Struthio camelus: one gene and its partners. The protein of the gene in region 1 binds, or shares a complex with, the protein of each later gene. Links are inferred from orthologs where the notes say so. Each region holds a gene or a part of one and is shown in the gene's direction. Other genes may lie near its edges. The genes, in order: CACNA1S, CACNB1 and CACNG1.

Region 1 (9,759 bases):
GGAGGGAGCAGGGCGGGGGCGCGGGCAGGGGCGGGGCCTGGGCCTGCCGCACCCCCCCCCCGCCTCCTGGCTGGCAGCGCAGCTCTTCTGGGGACCGGAGAGCCGGAGCCGGGGGGAGCTCTGGGCCCCACTCTCCCCAGTACGTGCCCCACGGCTCAGTTAGGGCAGAGTTGACTCAGCCCTGGCTGCAGGAGGGCATGTGCTGGAGGTCTGGGGCCGGGGCCTGCTCCATCCCCTTGTCCCCTGCCTGCCAGCCCTGGCTGGGCACCAGCAGGGGGATGTGAGGTGCCCCCGAGAGGCGGCCAGACCCGGGGGGAGGCTAGTGGCATGGCTCAGGCCCCTTCTTGCAGCGAAACAGCTGATTTGCTCTAACTGTTGGGAATGTCCCTCTAGAAGGAGTTAATCCCTTGCTGGGTTCTAGCCTGGCATGCCAGCCCCACTCCCTGGTCCTCAAGGGCCCCCAGCACATGGATAACATTGGAAGAGCTGCTGCAGGGACTCTGGCCACTGCTAAAGGTCCCCATGAGCTGCTGTGGCCTTGACTTTGGGTGTCACGTGCAGGAAGGAAAAGCCGTGGTTGTCCTGGAGAAGGACACACTCCCTGCCATAGTCTGGCCTTGTGCTCAGACAGCCCATAGGGTCTGTGACAGCTAGGTCTAGGTCCTACAGGAGCCAGGTGTCAAAGCAGGGAGGTACATTTTATTAGGCTGGGAAAAGGGGAAGCCTTTGGGAGCAGGGGGCACACACACATGTCTGTGCATGTCAGGAGATGTTTGCTTTCAAGGTCATATTGCTTGAGAATGGCTAGTGCAGGGACCATTTCTATCCCTTGCTCTTCAAGATAGTAGGGGAAAGCCTTTCTGATTTGGCAGGCCTGGGCCAATCTGGTTGCGCTCTGCCTCTGGGAGGCCGTATGTCTCTGCCCTGTGGAACACAGCTATTGCAAAGGGATTGGCTGCAGTGGTGGAGTGGCTCTACTGCAGTCCCTGCTCCCATGTTAACCCTTTCTCCTTCCAAGCTGAGTAGGGCTCTGTCATGGGCTTACTGTGTTTGGGACTACAGGCACTGACCCTTGCTAACGCCATGTCTTTGTGCAGGTGTGGTGAAGGAGTAGAAGATGAGCATGAAGCTTGTGAAAGATATGAGGAAGAAGAGCGAAGAGGTGAAGAAAACATGCTGGCCTTGGCCCCTAGCCTGTTGATGGAGGCCTCAGTTGCATGAGGAAGCAGCCTTCCCCTACGAGATACATAGGAATATATCCATTGAGTGGAGATCACAGAAAGAGTGATTTGCTACACAGCAAGTGAGAGAGGGATTGGAGCAGGAAAGCCCTGTCCTCAAGCTAGCATCTCCCCTCTGCTACCTCTGGCTGATTTGTAGAGGAAGGTAAGTGTAGTCCCTGCAGGTAACTATGCAGTGCTCCCCACCCTCTCCCAGTCCTTTTGTTATGTCTCAAAGCATGAGGGTTCAGCTTTCGTCTAACTCTGAAGTTAGTTTAATTAAGGTCACATGGGAGACACAAAAATGGTTGGCCTTGGCACCAGCTGTGCCATGCCTGGATGATGTGGAGGAGGATGAGCCCTGGCCTGCAGGGACCACTCTCTGGCAGTTTTTGTTAAAGCCATGTGAAGTCAGTGCTTGTCAGCACAGCCCCATGCAAAATACAGAGCACAGAAGGGCAGCAAGCAGTTCCCAACAGCTGCAGAGGGGTGTGTGGAAGAGAATAAATGAATCAGGTACATTAGAAGGGCACATTCCAGAGGTGTTTGAGCCCAACCTCCTGCTCAAAGTAGGTCTGGTTAGGTCAAGTTGCTCAGGGCTTTACCCAGTCTAGTTCAGATTATCTCCAAGGATGGAGATACAGAGTTCAAAAGTGAGTAGATCGTGAATGAAGGCTTCTGGAGGGGATCAGAGAGACCTTGAGTGTCCTTTCCAGGTCCTTGCTTGCAGCAGATCTCCCACCATGCTCTCATCCTCTGGGACAGCTGTTGCAGCATGAATCGAAAGGGAGATGTTTCTTCTCATCCCCTGCAGAGGCCTCTTGAGAAGGAACCAACAGTTTCCTAGCTCTAAGAACAGCCCTAGGGCAAGTTGGGGCAGACGCCATGCCAGGCAGCAGCGCCCACTGTCAGCGTTAGCATGCCAAGCACATGCTTGCAGCCTGCCCTCTGGCTCGCCACTAGGTGGACCCCAAATCCTTGTCGTTGATAGGGAGGACACAGTCCAGGAATGGGCGCTCCTGGCAGGGGCACAGGCAGAAGCAGAAATACAGCTCATGGCTTTCAGCAGTGCTTAGGAGGGAGGAACGAAGACCAGAGGAGAAACAGTGGCATGTTTGGACCTGCCACTGTGACACAGAAATGAGGCTGGAGCCCTGGGCAGGAATAAATTGACTCTGGCTATTTTTTTTGCATAAAATGCAGCAGAGTAGTGTAGGAGAGGGCGGGTTACTGATTTTGCACCTCTACAGTTGAGGCCTCCTCCCCTCCAGGAGTGTCAAAATGGGCTGGAGCAGCTGCAGGAGTTGCTCTCTTATGCTGTCTTCCTGCCATGGGCCACAAAGGAGGGAATGATTGTCTTCGCTTGGCACCGTGGCCCTCGGCACAGCCTGCTCTGCAGCTGGTGAAATGACCCTGCAAAACAGAGGCAAGGAAGCTTTGAGCAAGGCAGTGTGGTACAGTGGGCAGAGCTCCCCCTGGGACACGGGTTGACTTGGGCACAGCTGTCTGGTTACATTAGGCTGAAGCATCTCCATAGGACAGGGACAACATTTGCTGAGGGACATACCTGTAAGTAAGAAAATTTGTGTAACTATTCTGCTAACTCAGTCCCTGGATTGCAGGAAAACCCCAAGCACTGCCCTTCCTGGTGCCTCTGTTTCCCTTGTTGTGAAAAGGTAGTGAAAACCCCCTTCTGTCCCTATGTGCATTGACACCTCCAGCTTGGGAGTCCCCAGCATTGTCCGTATATCCAGTTGGGCTTTCTCAAGCCCAGCTGGATTTCCAAGACGTCCCTGGAGCAGGACACAGCCCACCCTAGGCTTATTGTATTCCTGCATGTCCCAGGCATGCCCCTTGCCCTACAAGCAGAATTGAAGAGATGAGGCTGACCAGGGGCTGTCTGAGGTGATGAGTGCCAGCCAAGGCATACTTTGGGCTAAGCATCACTCCCAGGAGCTCTGAGTTTGGGGTCAAAGTTCCTGTCTGTGAGACGTACCCATCCCCAGAGGTACCACAGCCCTGGGGTCACAGGGCCAAGGGCTCAAGAGACCAGGTTGCATCTGAGGGTCTCCACATGAAGGAGAAATCCTGCAGAGAGACAGGGCTGATCAGTTTGTGGGATGACCTTCCTTGAGGAAGTGTCCCACTGGCCAGAGTCAGGTTCTCCCTCTCACCCAAGAAGTGCAATTCAGCAGATGGGGCCACATGCGTTCCCCCAGCCAGCCCAGTCTCTCTACTTGGGCGTGGAAGGCCCAGGGAGTTGGGGAAAGAGGTGACCCGGGGTGAGGGCAATTTTCCTTGGGAGGGTGTGCACCTGACTCTGGGCAGCCCGTCCCCACCCCCCGCCTGGCTCGGTGGCATGCAAAGCACTCATCTGCCTTAGGATAAGCCGGGTAAAGAAGCAACAGCTGCTGGGGTCCTTTTGCTGCCTCGGGAACTGTGACAGCACCCGGGAGCCAGGCTAGTGTCTAATTTTAAACTCATGCTTTGTGCATTTGTGCATGCGTGTGCAGCCTCCAGCCCCCACTCCCCCATGACCTCCCCCGGTGCACAGAAGGGACAGGCTTAGCAGGAAGGAAGACCCAGAGGGTCTCTGGCTGGCCAGGATCTGGGGAAGGGGGACTTGGCTGTGAGGCAGGAAGAGGCAGCTAGGGGAGAAACACCATGGAGCCTGCATCTCCCCAAGATGATGCAAAGAAGAGGCAACAGAAGGAGAAGTCCAAGAAGCCAGTGCCACCAGCAGCCCCCCGGCCAGCCAGAGCTCTGTTCTGCTTAACCCTGCAAAACCCACTTCGGAAGGCATGCATCAGCATCGTGGAGTGGAAGTATCCTTTAGGCTTGGTGGGCTTGGTAGCGCCTGCATGTGCATGTCTGTGACCATGGGTGCTGAAGAGGAGTGCTTGCTGGAGCAGGACCCCTTGGGGCTGTTAGGCAGGCAAGTCCTCAGCACACTTTGAGTCTGTGAGTTGTCTCTGCTTATGCTATGGTGGTGCTGTTTGTGGTGGCTGTCTCATCAGGCCTGCGAGGGAGCAAGGAAAAGCAAGGAAGGGCTTGGGCAGCCCCAGCAGGGTGCACTGGCAGAAGTGACGGCTGTGCAACCTGGGGGCACGAATAGGCTAGTGGGAAAGATAGGGCTGAGGAGTGGACCATAGGGATCCTCAGCAGGGTGTTTTGGGGACAGGAGGGGACAGCCTGAGTGGCAAGGAATGTATGCATACCCATGTTTTGTGCTGGCTGTGGCTGGTAGGAGCTGCGCTGAGGATAAACAGGGGACAGTCTGCCAGAAGGGGAGAGTGATGGTGTCAGAGGAGGGGGCACGGGCCCTGTCCCAGAGCTGGGATGGGCCGGGCAGAAGAGGAGGGCCAGGATGGAGGAGCAGGTGCTGAGGATGCAGCTTGGGAGGACAGGCCAGCCTAAGGAAAGAGGGGCTTGGGAGATGGATACAGAGACCACGGTGAGCTGCTTGAGATGGCTGTGTGTGTGTGTCACCGCTTGCCCACTCCTGCAGCTACTCCCTGCCATGGCCGTGGGCAGCTAGCCAGCATCCTCTAAATCCCTGCCGACACCGTTACTGTCTCAATCTCCTTATCTCCTCCCTCTCCACCACTTTTGTCACACGTGAAGGCTTTCATGGGTGAAGCTGTTTAGAGAGATGGTATCTCTGTGTGCCCTTGGTTTAATTTACGGATGGGTTTGTGATGGTTGCTCTTTAGTTGGCCATGCTTTGACTGGGGTGTTTTAGCTTGGAAGTGGCAAAATGTCATGTTTCTGCCACCCATCCAGGAATAATTTTAGTCCATTAGACATGGCCTTGGTTGTTTAAAATACAGCTTGTATTTTGTGGAATAGGACATTTTTGCCTTAACGGGACAGGAAACATTTCACTTGGTTTCAACAAAACATTTGGGCTCAACTAACACTGATAGGATTTGGGGCATTTCCAGGAAATCCAGTCTTTCCATCCCAACTTTTCTTATTTCAGTTGCTGAATGCATCTAGGTGTTCCTGGCCTTGACGGGATTCTCCCAGTCTAGGGTCCTCTCCCCTCTAGGGCAGCTTGGGCAGCCCCACCCCACCAGAGCAAGCCTTCATCCTGTGCCTGGGGGCTGCAGAGCCAAGCCTTGCTAGTGGGAAACACTGCCTGCAGTGTGGTATATGTGGTGCTACAGGGGCACCAAAACCATGCGCCAGCACCACCACTGATGCTGTCCTGCTCAAAGCCCAGGCTGCCCATTTGCAGACATTGACAGCATGCTCACACCACCTGGCAATGCTTTTCAGGGCATGGAGTCTGAGCCCTCTTGTTCCTATGTGGCACAAAGAGGCTCTCTGACCTTTGCGGAGAGGCAGCAGAGCCAAAATTGGGGAATTCTCCATTTCTACTTCTCTTCAGCTGAAGAATGGGGTGTTTTGCACAGCACAGAGCTGTGTCTGTGTCTGGGTGCAGGGCATGGAAGGAACTTGTCTGTAGACCCTAATGGCAGGGGTAGAGCTGGAAATAATATATATATATATCTTCCAGCATACTCAAAAACATTTTTCCTGATGGGCCAACATATGCCAGAGCAACTGCAGAGCCCCACTGAGGGAGGCCTTTCCCACACTGGGGACGTGGGCAAGGGGCATGGAGGGAAGAGGTAGATGTTTCACCAGGAAGGCCACAGGTGCGGGTAGTCCTGACCTGTGGGAGATGGACGATTCTGGGCATCGGGTTTCAGCAGCACCACTCTTGTGCCTGGCTATATTTATATGCCAATGCACCTGCCTCCCCTCACTCAGGGATCAAGGTTTACAAGGCATGACGGGGTTGTTCCAGCTCCTGTGGGTTGTTATGAGCTTCATGGCCAGACCAATTGCCAAATGGATACTAGTGTGACCATTTTCTGTGGGGATACCTGGTGAATGGGATCAGGTTACACATCTCTGCTCTTTGGCCTCATCTCTACTGCATAATAACTGCACTGTCAGAGGCACAAAGCTGAGGCAAAGAGCTAGGACAGGGTCTTTTCAGGCAGCAGGAGAGTGCTGGTATTCCAGGTCATTTTGTAGTCAGGAGGACTTTTAAGGCAGATGGGTGAGTCTGGGGACCATGAGCAAGGCACTGAGTGCCTAATTCCCACTGTGAAGCTGAAGTTGGTTCCTTCGAATGCTGCATGGCAGGAGGCTGCTAGGGAGCAGAAGTGAGATTTGCAGGGCAAGGGGATGAGGAGGGTTTTGAGTCTCTGGACTCTATCAGAGACCCGCTTGCCTCAGTGACAGTACCTGACTCTTGGCTGGCTGAATTGTCCCACTGTGTATCTACCTAATAACAGTCCCAGGCTCATGGCCACTGGCAGGCAATGTGGGACTTGCCTACAGCAACCTGATAATAGAAGAGCACTGAGTCTCAACTTCACCTCTGATTGCAAGATAATTCTCCCTTCAAGGAGGAGGATGTGGCTGTTTTCACCAGAGCAGGGGAACAAGAAAAGGACTTCTGCAGTTTAGTGGCTGTTGGGGCAGGATGTGGGCCACGGTTCCTGCTCCTCTTTCCATTGCTTTCACCAACTTGCTCCATGATGCTGAACTGATCCCTACACTCTTGCATCCTCACAACCACATGGAAACTGAAATGAGTGCTGGCAAGGTGGACTGCTCATCTCACCCTGTCAGAGCAGGCAGGGAAATCTCTAGCCCTTGGGCTGTGCTCTGTTACCTGGGGCACAGAGGAGGGCAGCTTCTTCAGCTGACTTTAGTTTTTAAAGTATCATCAATTTGTTGGCCAGAAGGGTCCAGAAAAGGCAAAATAACCTGACTGTGACCAACACAGGAGGACACAACTGGCAGCAGTCGGTCAGCTCAGCAGGCCAAAATGGAGATGGAGAGAATATTCCTTAGTGCTCTAACTCCATGATGCTGGGTTAGATAGTAGTATAGCCAGTGCAGCCCAAGGCTGACCTCAGCATAATTAACTATGGCGTGAGAAGGTGTCAGTATGGCTGCAGGACCCTCTCTGAGGTACTGAATTTTGAGGACTGTGCTGAGCTCTGTAGCAGTATCAGTCTGCATGGCTGAGTTGTAGATGTTCCCACAGAGGGGTTCCTGGGAGCTGTGCTACTTTGAAGGGTTGCCCAAGGTAGGATGAAAATGCTGAGAAATCCCATCTTGTGCTTTGGAAGCCTCTGCACCCAATAGATGAGATTTATCAGTTTGCAAGTGATGGAGATGAAACAGGCAGGTTCGTAATTACAGGTGGGGATGGAGATGAGAGAGATCTCAAAACAGTTTGTGGGGGTAGGCGCTGGCTGTGGTCATAACTCCTTGCTCTTGCTGTTGCATGGTAGGACACTGGTGAGGAAAAGGGGCTGCAGGGGATATGTGCTGATTTACTGGATATGCTGATTACTATTAGTTGATTTACTCTGTGGGTGGGTCTGGCCTAGTGGACACGTGGACTAACATTTTCATTTCCTGCATCTGCTTTTCGTTTCATTGGTTTTCAGTGCTACTGATAGATGCAGACAAGGCAAGTGAATCAGGGAGACATCAGGAAACATTATTTGTCAGGAAACTTTGGGGTGAGCATTGTGATGGAAAATGTTTAATGTACTTTTTTGCCCCATGCTCTGCCCAGTATGAAGTCTTCTGGCAGGACGAAGGCACTGGATGAATGGAGAAGATCCCTTTGCTTTTAGGCACAAGCACAGCTGCATGGTACTGTAACTTGAGCACAAATCTAGGACCCAGAGGCACTTCAGTTCTGCAGCAAGGCCTGGAAGTGGCCAGTTCCAGGGGTTAATCAGTCACCAAGGATAGGAGAATATTGCATATGCATGAGAGTGTTTCTGGTAGTCAAAGTACTCCAAAATATTTTGAGTCAGGGGCTCTGAAGAGTCCTGAGCACTCCTTACTCTTTCTGACCATTCTCACAACTGGTGCCTGTGCTATGCTTGTCCTGATCTCTCTCTGGGCAAGGACTAAGTTATGCAGAGTCAGGTAATGAGAGACAGCAAAAGATGATGGCTATCCAACCACATGTCTACTGCACTCACTGGAGACTGCAGGGTAGATTTGCACCATGCTGGAGGAACAGAGACGTGGGATCTCTGAGGTTAGAGTCATGCCCTGGGCAGGATGCTGGGGCCAAAGTTTGAGTTCTCTCAGGGCTTCAGCAACATGATAGCTGGAGCTTGACCATGAGAGTTCAGTGGCCTGGTGGACCAGTGAAGGCAGCAGGAACCTGGCTGTGACCAAGTGATCCTAGGGCTTGCGAGGGGAACAGCAGGTCAGAATATTTGGAGATGCCACAGGGGCCAGACAATACAATACACCTTTTTAGAGAGGGGGACAAAGCTCAGACTGACTGCCCTGGTTATTCCCAGACTATAGTGCTGCCTACACTGGGGCACTCAAGGCCATAAGAGGGCAGCTGGATGTTCTGCTAGAGGAGCCCCTGACTGAGCTGTCTTGCCCCTCCTAGCTGGAGTGACATAGCCCAGCTGAAATCTGCCTCTCAGCAGTGTCTCCCTAATGCCATTGACTGCAGAGGGAGCTAGGGCCAGCACACTCCAAAGGGTGATGCTTTGGCTAAGTGCTTCCATTTTGGGACAGGATCCTGAACCTTCCGGACAACCCACCAGGATGAGGGGGATACTGCCAGCTTTCCCATCCCCTGGTTTTTCCCCAACTGCAGCCTTTTAATTTGCGTCCCTTCCCATATATCCCATGCCAACACTGCCTCTCTCCAGCAGCTATGTCCCAAATATCCAGGCCCTGTGTCTCATCCTGGTCCATCACTACCAAATCCTCTCCGTACCCAGGGACCCAAGGAAGGGTACGCAAGTGTGGATGTGTAAAGGAAGCTTGACTGTTTTCTCTGATTTCCTGCCCCAATGGGAGGTTGTTTACTCACAGCCTGTGGGGTTTCCCCACATGCACGCAGACAGGTCAGGACATGGGCATAGGCTGTATTTGTTTTTTGGTTCCTTTCTTGTGTCTCCATTCCTTAATACCTCCTGTCAGACCCTTCGAGATCATCATCCTTCTGACCATCTTTGCCAACTGTGTGGCACTGGCCATCTACCTGCCCATGCCTGAGGATGACACCAACATTGCGAACTCCAGCCTGGTAAGGCACAGCCCCTTCCTCAACCACAGCAGCTCTGAAAAGTTTTGCCTCCTCACTTAAATCTGTTGTCTTCCACTGAGATATACAACTGCAGATTAATAGCACAAGGATTCCTTGTTCCCCATAGGTATGTGGTGGTAATATCTGTAATGGTAGAATCTGCTGTACCAGAAGCTTCTGCTTCCCTGAAGGGTGAAATGGGGCCTTTTAGGCCCAACAAGAGATGCTGCAAAGTCAGATAGAGGCAGTGTCCACAGTGTTGGGGAAACCACTGCAAAATGGGTTTTTAGAGTGACTGAAACAACCTGCAGGTTGAAATCTCTGCTTAAGCAGAGAGGTCACTCTATTCCAATCAGTTATTCTAGTTTATTCCAGGCACTCCATTTTGCCTGGAATAAGATGTTTTGGTGTGATCGAAATCAATAGTTTGCA
Region 2 (9,759 bases), on another chromosome or scaffold:
ACACATTACCCTTGACCTTCAGGTACAGACTGTGATACCTAAAGGAGAACAGACTGGACTGTAAACAAGGTCACCCAAAGGATCAAACCACTGTGCAGCTTCTGCCTTCCAGGCGGATGGGCTCTGCACAGCAGGATGCTGTGTGCTGTGACAGCCTTGTCATCCCCAACCTCTGAAGCAGCAGCACAGTCGTTTGGTCTGTCTTTTCCCCCCTCAGATCCAGAAGGGAGCTTGTCTGGAGAACTGTCAGGGTTATTCTGGAGCAGTTTTCCAGTGCCATGCTTTCTGGAGAGGATTTATTTTCACCAGCATACTCCACACCAATGAACCGGCTGCAGAAGCTTCATGCAGCAAGAAAGGTGTACCTAAGTGCATGGACACTCTCCCCACCACACCCCTGCTCCCAAGGCTGACAACTAGGATGGCAGGCTTACATATGGCGGTCGATCTTCTTGGACTCCCTGTATCTGCGGAGGAGACGCCTGAGAATTCTCATTCTCCTCATCCAGGTGACCTTCTCAGGCATACGAGCATTGGCCGTACCCTTTCTCTTACCTGGAGAGATGGGACAGGATGAGAACATGTCCAGGTTTCTCCAAGTTCAACAATATCCCTTTGCTCTAGCCTTTAATCCTTTTTACTCTGAGAAGGATACCATTAACGTACTAGCTGCGTTTTTAGGCCTTGCCACCAGACCTCTGGAGATCTTTGCTCAAGACAAGCTTGGAGGTGAACCAAACACCATGCAAAAAGACATTTATTCCAGTTCTCAGGGGGAAGTCGGCACTTACCGATGCCCATGTGCCTGCCCTTTCGGCGGGCTAAGGTGTTCTTCCTGCATCGGGCACGAGAGTGGACAGTCACAGGTTTGCGGATGATCAGACCATCCTTAATCAGTTTCCTGATCTGCTGACCTAAAGACAGAAACTCCACGTTCATGATACCATGTGTAACAAAAGCAAAGAAAGACGCTAAGCAAAGAGAGATCCCTATTTAGCTTGTGTGAAAAGGATCCAACGTGAAGGACAAGGCAGACCTTCTCCTCAAGGACCACTCATGCAGCTTGAGTTGCTCGTTTTCCAGCCCGTTTCTCCCTCGTTAGTTATTTTTAGTGGCTAGCACATACTAAAGTCGCTACCAAGAAGTCGCCAGGCACTACGTTTTTATGAGCGCGCTGGAAACGTTGTAAACTCTGCTACTGGGCTCGTGTCTCCTTGGAAAGATAAGAAGCACACAGCAGTTGTTCAAGGGTCAGCATCTCCCCTAAGCCAACCACGTCACTACCGAGAGGCTCATTACTTACGAGAGTTGGCATTAGCGATCTCGTTGGTTTCGTTAGGATCCAGCCAGACCTTCTTTTTGCCACAGCGCAGGACGCTGGAGGCCAGCCTCTTCTGGAGCCGGAGCATACTGAGGAGAACAACGCGCACAGCTTAGCACCGCGCCGCCTCGTCGCAGCGCCCGAACCCAGGCCCGCTCGAGCCGGCGCGGAGCTTTCCTCCTCGAGGAAGCGCAACCTGATGGGAGCCGGCTGCAGGCAGCACCGCGGAGACAGCGCTGCTCGGCGGGGAGGGGGCGGCCGCAGCCGAGGGGCAGCGTTGCGCAGCTCTGCGCGGCGAGCCCCCCTCAGCGCGGGCCCCGACGGCCATTTCGTCCCCCTCCTCAGCGCGGGCCCCAACCGCCATTTCGCCCCCCCCCCCCCCCCAGCGCGCGCCCCAACCGCCATTTTCCCCCCGCCTCCCCCGGAGGCCCGAGGAGGCCGCGGCCGCCTCACAGGCCGCGCCGGGAGCCTCCCCGCGCGGCGGGCCGAGCCCCTGCCGCTAGCGAGGGTGGCCGCGGTCACCTACCCACCCACCCCATCGCGCTGCCAGCGCGGCCCCCGCAGGCCGGACGGCGGCGGAGCGCCCCGCCGCTCACCTCATGGCGGCGGCGCCGGCACCCGCGCGGAGAGGAAGAGGCAGCAGGCCCGGCCGCGCCCACAGCCAGCGCGACGGGCGCTCGGCACGTACCACCCCGCTCCGCCCCCCCCGCCCCGCTCCGTCCCCGCAACCGTGGGGCGGCCCAAAGCGGGGCGGGAAAAGAGCTACGGCCCGGTCTCGGGTGGGGGAGAAGCGGCGGAGGGGAGGGTCTGAACCCACTCGAGGTTTGGGGGAAGAGATGTGTTTTCTGCCCCCCCCCTCCTCCCACGGCGTGGTACAGGCCGAGGCACGCCGCGCCTGCGCAGTGGCGGGGTGCCGGGCGGGTTGCGCGCATGCGCGGTGGCCGGGAGCGGGGTAGGGGGTGGGTGCAGGGTGCAGGTGAGGGGTGGGGGTGAAACTGGGATAAATGGGGCCTGGACACGGCTGGGCCCGAGGCAGGCTGGGCCGGAGGAGCACGGGCATGCCCTGGGGCTGCCCGGGCAGGGCTCCGAGGTTGCTGAGAGCTCCTTGTTGCCTGTGGAGAAGCCCCTTTTCCTGCGGGTCTTTCTCTTTTGGGGTCAGTGGAGAGGCCGTTGCGACGCCTCAGGCCTTACAGCCTTCTTGGGCGTCGCTGCTCAGGGAGCTGCAGCTGGCCCTGCCCTCTGCAGCTCACCCTGGCTTCTCTGAAGGCCTCTTAGCAGCCCTCTGAGCGGAGGGGAGTTGTCCCCAGCCCGGGTTCGACCGTGGTTTTAGGCCGTAGGTGCGCTCCTTGCCGTCTCCACCCTGCCTGGGAAGTTATAGAGTAGGAAGGATTTAATGTCAGTTTTTCATATTGCTGTTTGTAGCAAGAAAATGGGATCTCTGTGTCTTCAGCATTCATCTGCTGTGGTTCCTTTATCTCCAGGAAGTCAGCTGAGAGGGTGGTGTGACTATCCAGAGGTTAGTGCAGTGCCTAGCTGCGATCTTGCCTCCTGCTTCGTTTCTGCGTGTGAATGAAGTACCACCTCTTTTGCAGTCATTACTTAGGTCATAATGCTGCTGAGAAAAGAGAGGAATTGTATTTTTCCTATGAAATTACCTCTTGACATGGTTACTAACAAGGCTGCGGTGTGAGGGTTGGTATTGGTAGACAACGTTTGGCCTTCCCAGCATTTTGTAACCTAAGCACAAGCGAGGTCTGAATGTATCACTGGTACCGTTTCACATTTGGAAAACCAAGGCACGGGCAGCCTGAACCACATTTTATATCTCTCCCAGCCTGACGTGTCTTCACAAAAAATGCACTAGTAAGGCTAGAAATGGGCCCAGTGGCAAGTGACATCCTTTATCTCAAAGAAATGACCTAGAAAAGTGCTGGAGCCTCTCCAGGAACAGATTGTTTAAGAGTTCCTGGAAAAAGGAAGAGCTTGCAAAATGATAGTATATACGTTGTAACTGGTATAAAAAAAAAAAATGTAGGGATTTCTTTAATGCAATAAAGAATGTGACTGAAATTCCACTTTAAAGCAAACTGGTGCAGCACAAATGTCACTTTCTAACAACCCAGATGTTAAATAATGCCCAGATTTGTAATTTTGTATTTGTTTTTTTCCCTCCTCCCTTTAAACTGCTGAAGGTTGCAAGTGCCTGGAAAGTTGTCCCCCACTTGTCCCCAAAGGCTCCTTGTTAAACACCCAAGATAAGATGCTAACAAATCATTTTGGATCTGGCGGACGTAACACAGTCAACATATGGCGTGAGAAGAGGAGCCGATGGCAACAGATTTTTGGTGCATTTTGAGAGAAAAACACAGATAAACACAGGCTTTTGCTGTTTAAAAACTGAGTCATCATTTTCATAAAACAAACAGCAAAATCTGGAGGCTCTTGAGACAGGAGAGTGGCTAGGCTTTAATTACTGGCCCAGGAGCAGCTCCAGGATTTTGCCTACTAACACTTCTGGGAACCTGCCACTACGAGTCACTTGGCCAGTTGTGAGGGCTGGAGGCAGGAGAGTGCCTATACCTTCCTACTTATATGTGTGTGTGTGTCCTTCAGTCTTACGGAAGTATCATCTTATGCTCTGTGCTTTCCAGGGGACCAGAGATGAAGAGACCTGTCTGACCCCAGATACAAAGAGAGAAGGTTTCAGCTTGGATTTGCAGCAGCCCAGGTAGGGATGCTCTCCAAGGAGGTCTGAGGAGATGTGCCAGTTCTTCATCCTCCCTCTCCTTTCTTTGCGTCCTACGCTGGACAGGCAAGTCCATAGCTCTGTGTCAGCAGAGCCTCCCTGCGCTGCTGCAGAGGTGGCCGCACTGACTCGTCGAGTGCATTAGCTCTGTGGAGGTGAGATCCATTGGGAGCAGTTGGCAGGGGCTGGGCAGGCACCGGGTTGCCCCAGGTGAGCCACCCGCCAGGGACAGCTTTGGCATGCTGAGTCCTTAGCAGCGCCTGTCTCCTACGCACAGGCAGCAGCGGGGAGGGCCTAGGGAGCAGAGTTGCTCTGGCAGCGTGAAAGGAGAGACACCGTAATTGTGTTATGCTCCCCCGCAGCTGCCGGGGGATGGTGTCTTCACCCTCCGCCTCCTTCCCAGCTCCCTGCTGGCAGAGGCCTTCTGCTGCCTCTGCCCTGTCACCCAGCTCTGCCTCCTGGGGCACCCTAAACACTACCCTCTGCTCCCAGCTGGATCCACATCTCCCCCAAACCAGCCTCTCTCTGGGGGCTCGAGCTCCCAAAGCAGTGTGGCCCTGGACAAGGCGGGCAAAGGGGATGGACAAACTTGCAAATTTGGGATCAAGGAAGTCCTGAAGTCCAAACTGGTTCCCTCCTGCCCTCACCCACGCGCAACACCTAGGGCTGGGCAGAGTCTGCACTCTAGCAGGGTTCCTGCATTGCGCCCCTGGGTCTGCCACTGACGAACTGCCTGACCTTGGACAACTCATCTCCCTCTGAGCCTCGTTTCCCCACCTGTCCGGCTGAGATGAAGTATGAGCTGGTGCCGAGGTGCAGTCATAGGCACCTTACAGTGTCGGTGATGGATGGGGTCTAATAATGGAAAATGTGGCGTCAGCTGTCCTGCTTCCATGGGCACATTGTCTCGCAGCTGCGGGATCTGGGAGGCCAAAAAGACCCAGTTCCAAGGGGTGGAGGGATCCCGAGGAATTTTTAACTTTCCAACAGCTGGTTGAAAGCCGGTGGCTGCAGCTCCTGCAGTTCAGTTCCATGAGATGAGTGTGGGAGGTCTCAGACCAGTGCTAAGTAGGGAGGAGGTGATTGCCCCATGGCACCCGTCACTGACAGGCTCTTCAGGGATGCCAGGGCTAAAGAGGACAAATATACCAAAGGGGCAGAGGAAGGAGGAGGCCACATCCTGTGAGGCGCATCCCAGACTGCCTGCCAGCAGCTCCTGCCAGCGGGCACACGTGGTCTGCCCATCGCGCCGGCTGGCACGAAGAGGCAGGGCTGGTTCGCGGGTCCCTGAGGGCCAAGAGCACAGAGCAGCTGCAGCCTCACTGGGGGCAAGAGGGTGCCAAGTACAGCCCTTCCCCAACTGCACGCGGGGCCCATGAGCCCCTGGACGTCCCCCTGTGGCTGCGAGGTGCCTGGGGTGCCTTTTCCCATGCAGATGCCTCCATATCTGGATATGGAAGCCCCTGGGGAGCAGATGGGCCATGTGGGGGGACATGGGGTGCTTTGAGCGTGGGTTGCAGAGACCCCACAGAGATCTCTGCTCTGGGGAGGATCTGAGGATGGGATGAGGGGGAGAAAGTAGAGGTTTAGGAGAAGCCATGAGCAAACTTGCCCTGAGGGAGCTGTGGGTTCCCCGCAACGGGGCACATCCAGGTGCAGGTGCTGACGTTTGGGGAAGGGGGCATAGCTGCCCTTGCACCCCCTCTCAAGCCATGCAAAGGTTCGAGGGCCCCGTGTCCCCCGTCTCCCTGCAGCGAGCCCCCGCAGCGAAGGAGCGAAAGCCTGCATATCCTGGGCACACAAGCTGCTGTGGGCACGGCTGCAGGACTCCCGCACTGTGGGGGGGATCCTCCACCTCCCCCTATCCTCCAATCACCCCCCCCCCAGCCGCTGCCTCCCCTTCTTGCCCCGGGGAAGGTGCTGTTTGGGGGGTGCCCTACCGGGGCGGGGGGGCCTGCATCCCGCATCCCCCGTCCCTCCCAGAAGTGCGGTGGGAGCGGCCGGGGCGGGGGCGGAGGCGGAGGCCCGCTGTTCCCCCCTCCTTCCTCCTCCTTCCTCCTCCTCCTCCTCCTCCTCCTCCCCCCGCTCCCTGCACGCCGTCCTCGCCCCGCGGGGCCGGTGCTGCGGAGGCCAGGCCCGGGCCCCGTCCCCTGTCGCCAGCGAGCTCCATGGTGCGGGAAGGCGGCATGGCCCGCACCCCATACAGCTCCACGCAGGACATCCAGATGGACGTCTTTGACAACGCTGCCCTGCAGGTGACAGCCCAGGGGGCTCCGGGAAGCGGGGGATCGGCCCCAGTGCTGCCGTGCACAGCCGCAGGCAGCTGAACACAGGGTGGGGGGCGAGCCCCATCGATCCCCCCGGCTTGGCGGCACCGCATTTGGGGGGGGGGGGGGGATTGGTGTGACTCGGCCCCCCCATGCCCTGGGAGGGAGGAGATTTCAGCCCCTACCAGGCAAAATAGGGTGGCTCCCACTCATGGCCAAACTGCTGGGGGGGGACTCCAAGTGGGATCCCCCCCTTTCATGCCAGGTACCCCGAGGGGGGGTCTACCCCCAGCAGGGGTTAGGGGTTAGAGCACATTGGGGTCGGCACGGACGGGTTTTCTCTGTGTCGCTTGCTTGCTGTGTCACCGCTTCCCAAGGGGTTTGCCCACCTGGAGCGCGCCGGATGGGGAGCTGGGTGTCTGCAGCCCAGGGGCTGCCCTGGGGTGTGGGGAGGAGGTGTCTGCGCACTGGGAAACTTTTAGGATTTGGGCAAACTCTGCATAGATATGGTGCGTGGCAGCTCCCCCCAGCCCAGTCCCCTTCAGCCCAGGTGCGAGGGGTTGTGGGAAAGGGATGCGTCTCTGGCTCGTCCCTCTGGGAGCAGGCGATGTGGGGTGGGGGCATCCCAGACTGGGAGTGGAGCTCAGCACTTCGTCCCTATGGTCTGGCTGGATGCTGTCCCCTCCCCACATCACTGCCAGCCACCTCCATGGGGACAGACCCCCCCTCCTTCGCTGTCTGGGGAGCATCAGCGAGTTGGAGTGACAGCGGGTTGGGGGGAGCAGGCCCTGGCTGCATCCAGCCCCATGGTATTGCCAGGCCTTGGGCGGACAGCAGCTTTGCAGACCACATCTCTGCCGCTTCCAGGGCGTCTCTCTGCATGGCTGTGGTTAACCCAACGCCGGCAGCAGGGCTGCTGGCCTACCCACCCCCGGGGACATTTGCAGCTGAGCCTGAGCCACGTCCGTCGCCTGCTCCGAGCGACGGATGGGGCTGGGTGGTCGGCGGGGGGCCGGGGGGAGTTGAGGATGAAGAACCTAAAAATATCAGGTCCTGCCCTGTGCAGGGACCACGCATCTCCGGGCTGGGTGGCAGCTGGGCCCAGCTGTCCCTCCGAGACGCCGGGGAGGCGACAGCCTCGCTCGCGGCTCTGTGCTGCCCCGGCATGTCCCTGCCTTTTGCCCCCACCTCTGCCCCGCGACTGCACCCCAGCACCCACTCAGCCGCGGGGCACTCTGCGTTCCCCCGGGCCTGGCGGCTCCCCGGAGGAGGTGCTGCCAGGCCTGGGGGGCCCTGGGGCAGCTGCTGTCTCTTCCAGTTTGCCCCAGCAGGAGGCACATGAGGAAACGGGGCAGAAATGGGAGGTTTTAGTTCAAACAGGTAGTTGTGAAGCCGTGGGCTCAGCCAAGCCGGCTGGGTGCTGGGAGGGAGAGGTGCGAGTTTGGGGGCTCGGAGGTGTCAGCCAGGGTGGGGGGAGCGTGCTTGTGGTGGATGGCACACGTGTGTGCAGCCGTTTACACAGAGCACGCGTGTGCGAGCCCGCTGCCAGGGCATGGCGCGTGTGTTGGCGTGCGTGCATGAACCTGTGCGGGGCTCGGACACGGGGACGGAGGTGTGGGGATGTGCCTGTAGAAGGGCGAGGGCCGTGGGTCGGAGCGTCGCGTGCGTGTGCAGGGCCCGCGTGTGAGCAGGCGTGCTCGGGGTGCCTGTTGCATGACCGCCCCGCAGCAGCCCAGGCCTCGGCGGCTCCTCGCTGCCTGCCCGGGTGATACCACCCCGTCCGCAGGGTGCTGCTTGGAGCCTGGGCAGGATGGTTCCCCCCGTATCTGCTGGTGACCGGTGGGGTTGCTCCCCCCATACAGCTCAGGGTCAGGTTCTTGGGGCAGGAGGAGCCCCAGGAGCTCAGAGCTGCCCCCGAGGCAGCCGGCCTCAGCTGCAGGGGTCCCCGGGGCTGGCAGCATTGGGGACAGCGGTGTTGGGGGTGGTGGCTGTGGCTGTCCCCTCGCTGCGGCGAGGAGCCAGACGCAGGCAGCCGGGCTCTCCCGCAAATCCAATCAGGCCCTGTGGCCTCCCTCTCCTCTCCATGGAGACTAGTCCCAGCCTAGTGGCTAATTCGATGCCAGGTCCCTGGGGACGGCCTGAGGAGGGGGCCGCGTGCCGTCTGCTTCCCTTGCTGCAGCCGGAGCTGCTGGGAGCGGCAGGGTCCGGCCTCCCCCTCGGACATGGGCCCGACTGAACCTCCCCTGCACAGCAGACACCGTGCAGGGCCCCCAGCCCACTGCCTCCCTGCCTCAGTTTCCCCCTGCCAAAGAGGTTTTGCGCCACCTCCTTGGGAAGGGCTGCAGTGCCTGTTGGCTCTCACCTCTGGGGTTAGCCTGTGAGCACCCCCTGCACCCCGCTCCCGCCCAGCAGAAGGGGCCTACACCTTCCCGTCTGCTTGGGGATGAGCTGCCAGGGCGATTAGCTCCGTTAGGAAGGCGCGCTGGGGCAGCACGCGGAGCTGGGGGAGAGCAGCCCCGCCGCGGTACCCGGGGACGCCCGCCCGGCAGGTCGGCCTGGTGCTCTGCGCGGGGCTCTGGGATGGGACAGACGGTGCCGCCAGCCCCTGTGGTTTGAGGCTTGGTCTGTGTTTTGCAGCTGTGTGTGCCGGGTGCAGCTGAAAGCTGTGGGTGCGTGAGGGCAGGGCGTTCGGTTCCTCCTCTTTCGCGGTCTCTCTGGGCTGTCCCGGCTTTCTGCCTCAGTTTCCTTTCTCTCTCTGTGAGAACTAGTGAGCTCCCTGGCCATCAGCGGGAGAGGGATGGAGCTTCCTTCATGGTGGGGAAGTGGTTGGGGATGGAGGGGCAGGGGCGGCCCCCCGGCGGCCCCCCGAGCAAGGGGGCAGGCAGGCCGCGGTCCCCCGCACACTCCAGCACTCACCAGGCTCTCCTCTCCGCAGGGCAAGTACAGCAAGCGGAAGAGCCGCTTTAAGCGCTCAGATGGCAGCACCTCCTCTGACACGACGTCCAACAGCTTCGTCCGGCAGGTGAGGAGGGCTGGCGGGACAGGGAGCCGGGTGTCCTGGGAGTCTCCTTGGATTGGGGGTCATCCCAGTCCAGCTCTTAGCAGGGGGACGAGGCTGCTGTGTTTATCCCTGGGACAGTGTGGCATGGCCCCCTTCAGGGCTGATTGCGGAGGGTTGCGGGGCTGGAAGGGGGCAGAGCTGGTCCCGGGGGTTTGGCCACAGCCAGCTCTTCCGTCCTGTCCCCATGCTCACTGCTCCCTGCCAGAGCCACAGTACGTGGCCCAGGGGAAGGGAGTTTGGAGGCCCAGAACTGGGTCTCACTTCTGGGACACTGGAGGTCAGGCACCTGTGTGGCTGCGATGGCCCTTGTCCCCCGGGGACAACGGAGGATGTGTGGAGGGGTCTGCAACCGTCAGCCCCCGAG
Region 3 (9,759 bases), on another chromosome or scaffold:
AGAGGCCACCAGGCCCCCTAGGGAGGCCAGTTAAACCTCCAAGGTGGGATAAAAGTTCCATGTAGATTTGGGAAAGGGGCTAAACCTTTTGGAGACAAGGCAAGTCTTTCAGAGCCCACACAGCACATTCTGAAGCCAAGCGGCTTCACCGAATCCCTGCCAGCTGTCCCCAAACACACCCTGAGGCTCTGGCACAAAGAGCAGAAAGCAGCACCTGAGTAGCGTGGGTACGTCTGCTCTTCTAACACATGGAACACTATCCCCACAAAGCATTTTCTCTCTCAGGACCACTGGCTCCAGCTTATGTTTTTAGGCCAGGGACAATGACTCACCTTAGCCTAGGTGACTTTTCAGCCTCCAGGGAAGCCTCTACATCTTGCACTGAAGTTCATCCAAGCTTTAGCTTGTTCACAGTCTCGGGTCCTCTCTGCAGAGGAGAGAGAGGGAAGGATGACTTTTCTCTTTATCTTTTTGCTTTAGTGTTTTCCTGGTTATTATTAGAAAAATAAGAACAAAACAAAACTGGGGGGAACTTATCCAGATTGTAGTACTTGAATGAGAATAGAAGACGTGATTCTTGCCAACACTGGAGGAGACACAAAAACCAGCAGTAACAAAAAAATTAATGAGTTCCCACCCTTTCAGTCCTTACAGCTTGTAATTAGTCTAAAGTGTGATCATTAGCAGCTGCTTTCTCAGCAACCAAAAACTTGGTTGCAGTTGCTTTCTCAGCAACCAAAAGCTTGCTTTGTGCCCGCACTTGAAAACATGCATTTCCCATGCTCAACTTGCTGAGGACCTGCGGAGTTTCTAGTGTCAAGGAAGTAAAGTCAAGATGCAACTCAAAATCGACTGATGTCTAGTGAAATTTAGCAAGAGTCTACTTTAAAAGAGAAGACATTACATTTTTAATGCATTCTTTTTCTGTTTTAAAGTCTGTTCCCTTTAGGCTTTTCTGCTTTCATGAGAACTCTTGGCTCTGGGTAAGAAAACAGAAATGTAAGTCTCCATAATATTTCTCTATGTGTGACATGATTGCAGTGGAGAGGTCTCTACTTGGTTGGACAGTCCTAACTTGCATCTTCCCCCCTTAGCAACAAGACAGAACGGGCTTTGCAGAACAGCCTCTTGGTCAGGTCCTTCTGAGGGCACATTTTAGTGCTCCAGTCTTGGATCTGCCTCTTTGCAAAAATAGAGAAATCAGTCTCTGTTACTCTTAGCATAAAATTTCCTTGCAAACTGATATAAACGACTCGCTCTATTCAGCGCCTTTCTCAGCGGAGCTGTAAGCAGGTGTTGTTTGGGACTGTTGTGCCTTCACCCTGATTGAGTCACGCTGTGCTCTGCCATGGGCTGAATGAGGGCCCGCAGCCAACCTACGCTGGCTATTTCCATGCTCATGGGTCCGGTTTCTGCACAGACTTTTTAAATATTTGGGAGTCCTAAATATGAGAATCCTTTCTGAATTGTGTGGCTGCCAAATTGTACATTTGTTCTCAAGACCTCTTCAGCTGCTTCAATTTGATCCCCTTTTATACTTGATATTCAAGGGTGGGGCGGTTTCTAACCTTTTTCGAAGACCAGCTCTGGAGAGATTTCCAAAAAGCAAACTCCGTTGGGGAACAACTCTTCAGGGAAGAGGTCACAGACTCGATTCAGACTATTTGACTCACTCCAACCATGGTGCGAAAGGGGCTCATACCCTGGCTTGTGCTGGTTTCTGCTAGCTCCTGAAACCCTATGAACATCGCAAGGGCTCTCTGATGGTTTGAAGCCCAAACCCTGCACATGGCACTCCCTGAAGGAGGATATGAGCTCTCAGAGCAGCATCGAGCCAGGGCAGAGCTTCTGGACAGCGTGGTTTCACTTCTCTACAGCTCGCTGGTCGCCGTCCGCGGCAGTGGAGCAATCCGCGCTAGTGGGCTGCAAACCAGCTTCCAACCCTTTTTCCCCCAGCTTAGCGCTTTCGATCAGCGAGTCTAAAGCACTCTGCTGACGTTTTACCAACCGCCGCGTGGTGAGCCAGCTTCCTTTGGACGTGCCGCTGCCCCCAGGTCCCCGGCCCCGCTCCTTGTCTCCTTCCCCTCCTGCCTGGTGGGTTTTCCCTTCGCTTCTTCCTGCGGCCATCACTGACAGGCAGATAATTCTTTTAAATCCTATTTCAGCTACAGTTATTTTGGATCATTATTTTTCTAACTCACTATTTTCTTTCCATTGCCCGCAGCTCCCTTCTGCCTTTAGTTCATTGCTTCAAACTGTCCTCCTTAATTCGAGACGACACCGCCGTACCTTTTATCTTGACACTGAACCGGGGTGTTCATGAAACAGCGCTGGAGTAGCTCTGCCATTATCTTGACACGATAACATGATATTTGCAGATTTCCGCTGACATTTTTCAAGCCATCGTCTTGACGTTCAGGTGCTGTCGCCGTCACCGGTTCGACATCGCAAGGGTAATGTCACCCCCACAGCGGCCTCGGCGTTGGCGTTATCAGGAAATTACTTTCCTGATCAGCTTAAAACATCAAAGGCAAGGAGAGAGGCCGGGGACATCGAGGCTTCGGGGCAGGGGAGTCGCTGCTCGGAGAAGGGGGGGTCTGCGGGCAGCGCCGCGAGGGCCGGGCGCTGGCGTGCGGTGCGCCTCGCGCCGGAGACGACGCAGAACGCCAGGGCTGGACAGAGAGGAGCCGACATCGGCCACAGAGGGCAGTTTGAAGGAGCCAGCGATACCAGTTACGATGAGCACCGAGGCAAACCCCGGCTGGTGGGAAACGAAGAAAGCGCTCCGGAAGGTTTAGGATGAGAAAAATGATTCAAAAGGCGCAAAAAAACAGGTGTGAGAAAAGCAATTTAGTGATTACGCCTTTTTCTTTCGGAAGAACCGGAGTGAGCTGTGAAAGCAAATCAACTTCACTCAGTAGTTCCCACTGTAAAACCAGAAAAAGGGTCGGCGGGGCAGGGGGGGAGAAACGCCAAACGGTTTTGTTCCAGCGGTCTCAAAGCACAAAGCGTCTCGCGCAAACTGATGAAATACGTACTTGCCGTACTTTATACATCGAACTTTGGGTATGACAAAATACAGCTCTCAAACCATCAGCGGCTTCAGAAGTGAACCAAACCGTTTTCCTTCGGCCTGAACAAGACATTTGGGTTAATTCAAAAAAATAAACGTTCTCGTTAAAAAGAAACCACCCCCCCCCCCAATTGCTTCAGCCACAGCCCGTTTATTTTCACCGCCCGCAACGGGGCTGGGGCGCTGCAGCGCCGTCCGGCTCGAAACTTCTCCTTACAAACGCTGACGCGAGCCCGAGGCGCGTTGTGGGCTTTGAGTCTACCCTCCCGCTATTTACAGTCAGGCCCAGCGCTATCACAAACCCACATGGGTGGTTTTTTTTTTCCCCCCCCCCTCTAACCTAGCCGAAAAAGTCAACCCTTCCCTTCATGCCTATTTCTGGGCAGGCTGCAAGACCGCAGTCCCCTCGCGGCGGCTCTAAGGCCGGCTCGCGGGCGACCGCCAGCCAAAGCCGAGCCCGCCGGCCGCAGCCGCGCGCCCCCCGCCGCTGACGCCTCCCAGCAGCTGCCCCGGCGGCCGCCGCGCCACCTGCTCGTCCCCCCCCCCCCAACCCCTCCTCCCCTCCAAACGCGGCAACGCTGACGTTTGAAGACGCTCGGACGCGCCGGGGGGGCGTCGGGAGATCAGCGGCCCGGCGGCTCCACGCCAGCGGGCCCGGCCAGAGGCCGGCTGGCTCGCGCCCGCCCGCCGCGCCGAGCAGCATGGACGAGAGCAAACCCCTGAAGATCCGGCTGACTTTCTCCGTCATCCTGGTCGGCGTCTCGCTCCTCTTCGCCGCCGTAGTGACTGACCACTGGGCCGTGCTGAGCCCCAAGGTGGAGGAGTACAACGCCACCTGCGAAGCGGCTCATTTCGGGCTATGGCGGCTCTGCACAAAGCGGATTTACGTGCAAGAGCGAGGCGCCGGGGAGAAGGGCTGCGGGCCCATAAGCCTGCCGGGAGGTACGTGACGGCGCTCGTTCCCCAGCCGCGCACAAACCGCACGAGAGAAAGCGTCAGCGGTGACTCCAGGCGGTGTTTAGGAGGTTACGGCACACGGCAGGAACAAAATACGGTGTCTCTTCCCCCCCCCACCCACCCCGGCTCTTAATCTGACAGGGCGCTGCACGCTGCTTCGCTTTCGTATCACCCTGCAAACGCCGCTCGCTCTCATTTCTCGTGCTGTGCATGTGCGCCGCCGCGTTGCCTTGCCCATGTATTTTTAACCATATTTTAAGCCGTCGGTCCCCTGCGCGGCAAAGGGAGCGGCGGGTAATCAGGGAAAAGGATCGGACACGGTGGAAATCACGGACTGGATGGAGGATATCGTGCCGACATCTGCCCAGGGTCCCACGGCACGCGGGCAAACCCACGCCACCTCCGACGAGCGTCGGCGGAGGGAGGATTTGCAGGACTGGGCCACCCTGTGTGGCTGAAGCAGGAGGGTTTCCTGCTTCAGCTGGCTATGAAGGAACAGCTTGTTCATGACAGTTATTAAGTTATCCACGGGCTATTTCAATAACAGTCATTGCTTGGGGCTGCGAGCAGGGCTGCGGTTTGCCAGCTTCCAAAAAAAGGCTGCAAACGGAGTTAGAAATGATTTGTCACTGCCTTCCTGAGCCTCCTTACCTTGCAGCGAAGGAAAGCCCGGGCTCTGCAGCTGAAAGCAGCCTAATCGGATGCATTTCTTCATTGCAAGGTATTCCACCGAAATCAATAGGAAGGGTGGCAGAGGAGCGATCCTAGCTGGTTTCCAGGAAGACCCTTACATTCCCGTGGTAAAAGGAGCTCGTTATATGTTTGCTGATTGCAAAGTCAGCAACATTCACGCAGCGTGTACTAATATACCCTAGCCGTGACTGAACTACGCTGCTTTTTGGGAAGGCTGATAGGGAACTGGCTTCTTTCCAGAACAGAAATAACAGGATTGCCTTCACGTTAGCCTCGCTGTTTGAAATGAAATATGTATGTTAACACATATTTGAAGAGTTCTTATGAAAATCTTGCTGCCTGTGTTTAGTGTATATTCTCTATGTTACTGCAATTCTTTATCTGTTTGGCAGAATTATTTATTCTGAAGCGAGGAGCTAGCCCGCAGCATTCAGATCTGCCTCTAGCCAAATTTGGGAGCGCGTGATCTGGAAACTTAACGTCTCTCGTGTAGGCGCTTACATATTCCTCGCTGTAGGCTTTGCTTTGCACGTGGACAAAAACTCACACAAAAGGAAAATAATAGAAATTGGTTGATAAATGCAAAATTGCACCAACTGCTGGATAAATATAAAACTCATAAATATCCAGCTGTCTCTGGAAAGCAGATTCACAGGCAGGGCAGCCCGAAAGGGGCTACTATCTTTGACAGACATCAGCATGTGCTTGCACAGACGTTGAATCATGTCCCCGCGCTGCCTTTCTAATGGGCGCAGTAAAGGAACGGGTAATTGTGGAGCTACCGAACCGAGCCCTCCACGGGCAGCTCGGCCACACCATGGGCAGCTTGTCCGGCTGGTGTGCTTTTGTGGTGTTGAAAGATAGTCTAGAATTTGGCTGAAGTCCTGGGTCAAAATAAGCTTCTGAGGTTTCCAGCAGCCTTCACCTTATGAATTACATCCTCACCTCTTATAAAATAAGAATTAAAGCCCTCATTTTACTTACACAGAGGACATGGCATGGTGAGGTGACCAAGAGCCCAGCCACCGAGGACGGCAGGCTGCTGCCACGCTGCCTTTGCAGGTCTCTCCTTAGGTTGATTTCCCAGTTTCGGAAAGATGTCAGCAGAGAATCACTGCGCTTGTGAAGCCTGCGAATGACCAAATGTGGCGTAAAAGAGCGCATAGGTGGAAATCAGTTTTCCTGAAAATCATGAGACATAATCAGACATTACTGCTGTCGGTGGAAAAGAAACATAAGAATTTATCACTGTATTAATAACCATTTACTAGTCACTCTTAGGAGGAAATGGATGGCACTATTAATATTATTTATTAGTTTTTGAGCTTAGCGCAGTGCAAAATGTGGAAGATGACTTGGCTCATAATCTACAAAACAGGCCTGTGATTTAAGCAAAGATGTTTAAAATTTAACAACACTCTTCAGAGGATGTTGACAAATTGGAAAAGGGTTTGGCATGCTGCTGTGAGGAATAAAAATATCAGGGAGGTGACAGTTAAAACTTGGCAGATTCAGATTAATGTAGGGACATTTTAAACTGTGATCGATGGACCATTGGAGCCATTTACTAAAAGGTGTGACAGAGACCTCTGTCACTGCCAACCTTTAACTCCAACATAGGTGTCATCCTAAAAAGCATGCTCTTGTGCAACTGCAAGTTGGGTAGCACGAGTGATGCTCTATAGCCTGTGTCTGCCACAAGCAGGTTAAATCATTCCTGTTAAATATATGCATCTGAATTCAGGCAGCTGGAGTCTGACAGGAAAATAACTAGAGCAAATGAGTTAACCAAAAGGGTGTCACATTCCCATCCGTACAAGAGACTCACCCTGCAAGACTACTATGAAGTTAAACTATTCGGAGCTACCATCTCCAAAACTCAATGATGTGTTTCAGAGCCCCTCCTCTGGCTTCCCCCAGCTTTGATAGCCAGGTGGAAACCCAGGGTCTAGCATCCACCATCACTTAGTCCTCACCTTAACCCTCAACACCTCCTCTAACCATGGCAGCAGGTCCTGTCCCCCATACTTAACACAAATGACAATCTCAGATTAAAAGCATCCCTCATCCAGATCTTCCTAACCTTCCAGCATGCCACAGATACCCCAACGCTATCATCCTTCTCGGGTTCAAGAGCAAACCTGACTCCAACCCCTACTCCATGCTGATCAGTGATGGCTGCCACCCCTTAAACTCTGCATGCCCCAAACATCTGCTTCTCTACCCTTCCTTCCTCCAGGAGGACTCCACATTGTGGCACTCAGAGGCTCAACCTCAGAGGCTCTTGTGTTACAGCTTCATCTTGTGGCTGCCCTCAGGCTCCCCATGGCTCTGCGTGGCAGGAGGGATTGGCTCTGCGGAAACAGAGGAAAGAAGAGTTAGCCCATTTCCCCACGCACAGAAGTCATCCAGGAGTCGTGGATGTGAAGGGAAGGGGCCAGGAGTGGTGTAAGCAAAGGTGACCAGGAAGGGGAGGGCAGTGTGTGATGAACCACGCTAGTCCTCTGAGTTCACACCTGCCCCTCAGGACTTCAGAGCCCCTGGACTGGGCAAGTCAGTGCAGTAGGTGACATCATGATAGATATTATGCAATTAGCAGTGGAGAGAAACCAAGATTGCCACAAAGTTTTCATCCATTATAAATCTCATTTTAAATCCTATCCATTATGTAAATGTGGTGTGACACAAATGGGCTTTTCTCTAATTCGTGATGACCCCCAGAGGGACTGAAGTCCCTCAGTTCTCTTGAATAATAGGGGACTTTGTTGATACAGATATTCCCAGCTTAGCAGAGCACCAAAGTGTCTTTAAACTGAAAACAGTATACCACTTCACCCCCCAAAAAAATGGTTTTGTTCTCCCACAATAACTGTATTTACCAATACGAATACCTTCCCAAAGCTAACTCACTTGTGTGATAACCCCATTTATCATACCTTTCAAGAGCTTATGCTTTAAGCCACAACATGCAGAACCAGCCTCTTTTCCCGAAGATGAGTCCCTTTCTGAAAGAGGCTTCCCAGCACTCCCCAGCTGCTGACTCTGCTTGGGCAGGAGGGGGGACTCCCTTGGCTCAGCCAAGCAAGGGGAGACTTTGGAAAAGCACCTGCTTGAAGACAAGGGCTCCTTAGCATGAGGATAACACAAATAACCATTTCCTTTTTTGCCTTTTTGCCTGTATTCTAGTTTAAAAGCAAGTACCACTGAAAAATACATCAAGGTGTGTGCTAATTTCAGACCCTTTGCCATCTTCAGGAAAGAAACAGATCCTATGCTGAACTACACAACGTCCTGTAAATCTGATTTTTTTAATGACTTATGCGTCATATTTTATTGCTGGGCAATACTCTCGCGGTGCCCATGTTTGTGGGTCACTCTAGCTATTCAAAACAGAAGCAGGAATGGTCCCCTCCACCATGCATGATTTTATGATGTTTCTAATCCCATCAGCGGAGACTCTCTGCCTCCCTGCTCATCCATCGAAGCGTTGCGCTGACCCACACTGAGCCAGCTGCTCTCAAACCAGGGCAGTGTTATCCACTATTTATCTGTCACATACATAAGTTATCCATCTGCCATCTACACAAAACTGTGAAAGTCACACCATAGCTGGACGTGTTTGACCGCTGGTTTTGTACAGTCAGCACCCTCAGGAATTCCTTTCAGTTCACGCTTTTCTCTTCATAGAATAAATTAGAAGCCAAACACGAATTCAAGATGAAGTGTGTCGGCTTCATCCTGTCTCCCTACCCTTTAGCACAGGAGTGAAAGGACCCCTGAACTAGCCTCCTATCACCAGCAGTGATTTTCAGCCTCAGCCACCAGCAGGTTGTTGGCAAAGGTCCGCAGCTGCCCAAGCCCTGCTTGCTCAGGGACACGTTGCTCTCTTGGGCTCATCGTTTGCAGTTTTAGTCGCAGATGTTTGAGGTCAAACATGTTTGCCCCAGTCATTTGCAGGGATAATAAAGAACCGGTCAGGAGATGCCAGAGCTGAACAACCATTAACCTAGTCTCAGACACAGGAGAAGCTGGAAACGTGACACAAGTCATCTTATGAAAATAAATAGATAACAATGCCTCGGAGGAATCTTTCACTAATGGGCCCCAAAATGCTGCTTTAGAATGTCTGTCTCCTTGGAGAGAGAAAATAAATCCTCCTTGAATCAGTAACTCTAAAATCTGCCATTTATGTGACAGGAGAAACAAAAGAACCCAAATGGTATCTTGTTGCCTCTAGAAATTAAGTGCTGTAAATTTTCCAAGAAGGAACCAGTTCCCCAGAGGTTCCTCTGTTCACAGCCGTTAATGGCCAGCCACTCTCGTGTGGTGGGCCCAAGAGGTGCCACAGCAGTTACAGAAATGTATTATGTTTTCCCTGGGCACAAAAAAGGCAGTGGACCCTACGCAGTCTCTGTGCACTAGGGACACTTGCTCAGACTTTGCCCCATGGCAGCAAACTTGCACTGCAGCAGCACATCCCAGCCTGGACACCACACAGGAGTGTAATGTGGAGCATACTCCGTCCCCCAGACTTATTCCCAAAGATTCGTGGAAGTTCACTAACTCCATTTGTTAACGGACAACTAACGGACAACGGAGATGCTGATGTTAACAAAGCGGCCACCAACAGTCATTGTATTTCATGCAGTCTTGGCAAGTTTCCCCTGTGTCCTGCAAGCTGAAGCACAGGGTGCAGAAAGAGAGGCGCTGAACATGTCCTCTCAAGCGTCTGCTCGGGAGAATAGCTCAATCAGAGCGCTGGCGCTGCTGGCGGCACCTCAATGATTGCACAATTCCAGCCAAATTCTTGGCAAGCAATTGTTCTCTCAGCTCTGCACCCCCTTCAAACCTTCAATTAAATAGGTTATAAATAGGGAGAACATGCTCCCTCCAAAAACAACTGCTGCCAAAACTTAAAGTCAATAGGTCCTCAGCAGACCCTTCCCCATCCTGCTCCGACACTTCAGCAGGAGGCTGAAAGCAGTGTCTTGTTCTGGATGCGCAGTGATGCGTTTCACAGCGCGGCTGAGGATGAA

The links.
Region 2: CACNA1S (region 1) and CACNB1 share a complex: the UniProt entries of both Homo sapiens proteins name them as parts of the calcium channel complex. The link is inferred for Struthio camelus from reciprocal best matches to the Homo sapiens genes CACNA1S and CACNB1.
Region 3: CACNA1S (region 1) and CACNG1 share a complex: the UniProt entries of both Homo sapiens proteins name them as parts of the calcium channel complex. The link is inferred for Struthio camelus from reciprocal best matches to the Homo sapiens genes CACNA1S and CACNG1.

What each region holds. Positions count from the first base shown.
Region 1 is NC_090965.1:2,385,472-2,395,230, forward strand, and holds the start of CACNA1S (voltage-dependent L-type calcium channel subunit alpha-1S), read left to right. Parts: upstream 1-3,884; coding exon 3,885-4,045; intron 4,046-9,221; coding exon 9,222-9,327; intron 9,328-9,759. UniProt on the Homo sapiens protein: Pore-forming, alpha-1S subunit of the voltage-gated calcium channel that gives rise to L-type calcium currents in skeletal muscle.
Region 2 is NC_090966.1:6,439,108-6,448,866, reverse strand, and holds the start of CACNB1 (voltage-dependent L-type calcium channel subunit beta-1), read left to right. Parts: upstream 1-4,057; 5' UTR 4,058-5,665; coding exon 5,666-6,322; intron 6,323-9,269; coding exon 9,270-9,356; intron 9,357-9,759. Other genes in the region: RPL19 (large ribosomal subunit protein eL19), read right to left, coding at 1-38, 435-555, 792-914, 1,304-1,410, 1,918-2,381. UniProt on the Homo sapiens protein: Regulatory subunit of L-type calcium channels. Regulates the activity of L-type calcium channels that contain CACNA1A as pore-forming subunit.
Region 3 is NC_090960.1:4,233,501-4,243,259, forward strand, and holds the start of CACNG1 (voltage-dependent calcium channel gamma-1 subunit), read left to right. Parts: upstream 1-3,505; 5' UTR 3,506-3,774; coding exon 3,775-4,015; intron 4,016-9,759. UniProt on the Homo sapiens protein: Regulatory subunit of the voltage-gated calcium channel that gives rise to L-type calcium currents in skeletal muscle. Regulates channel inactivation kinetics.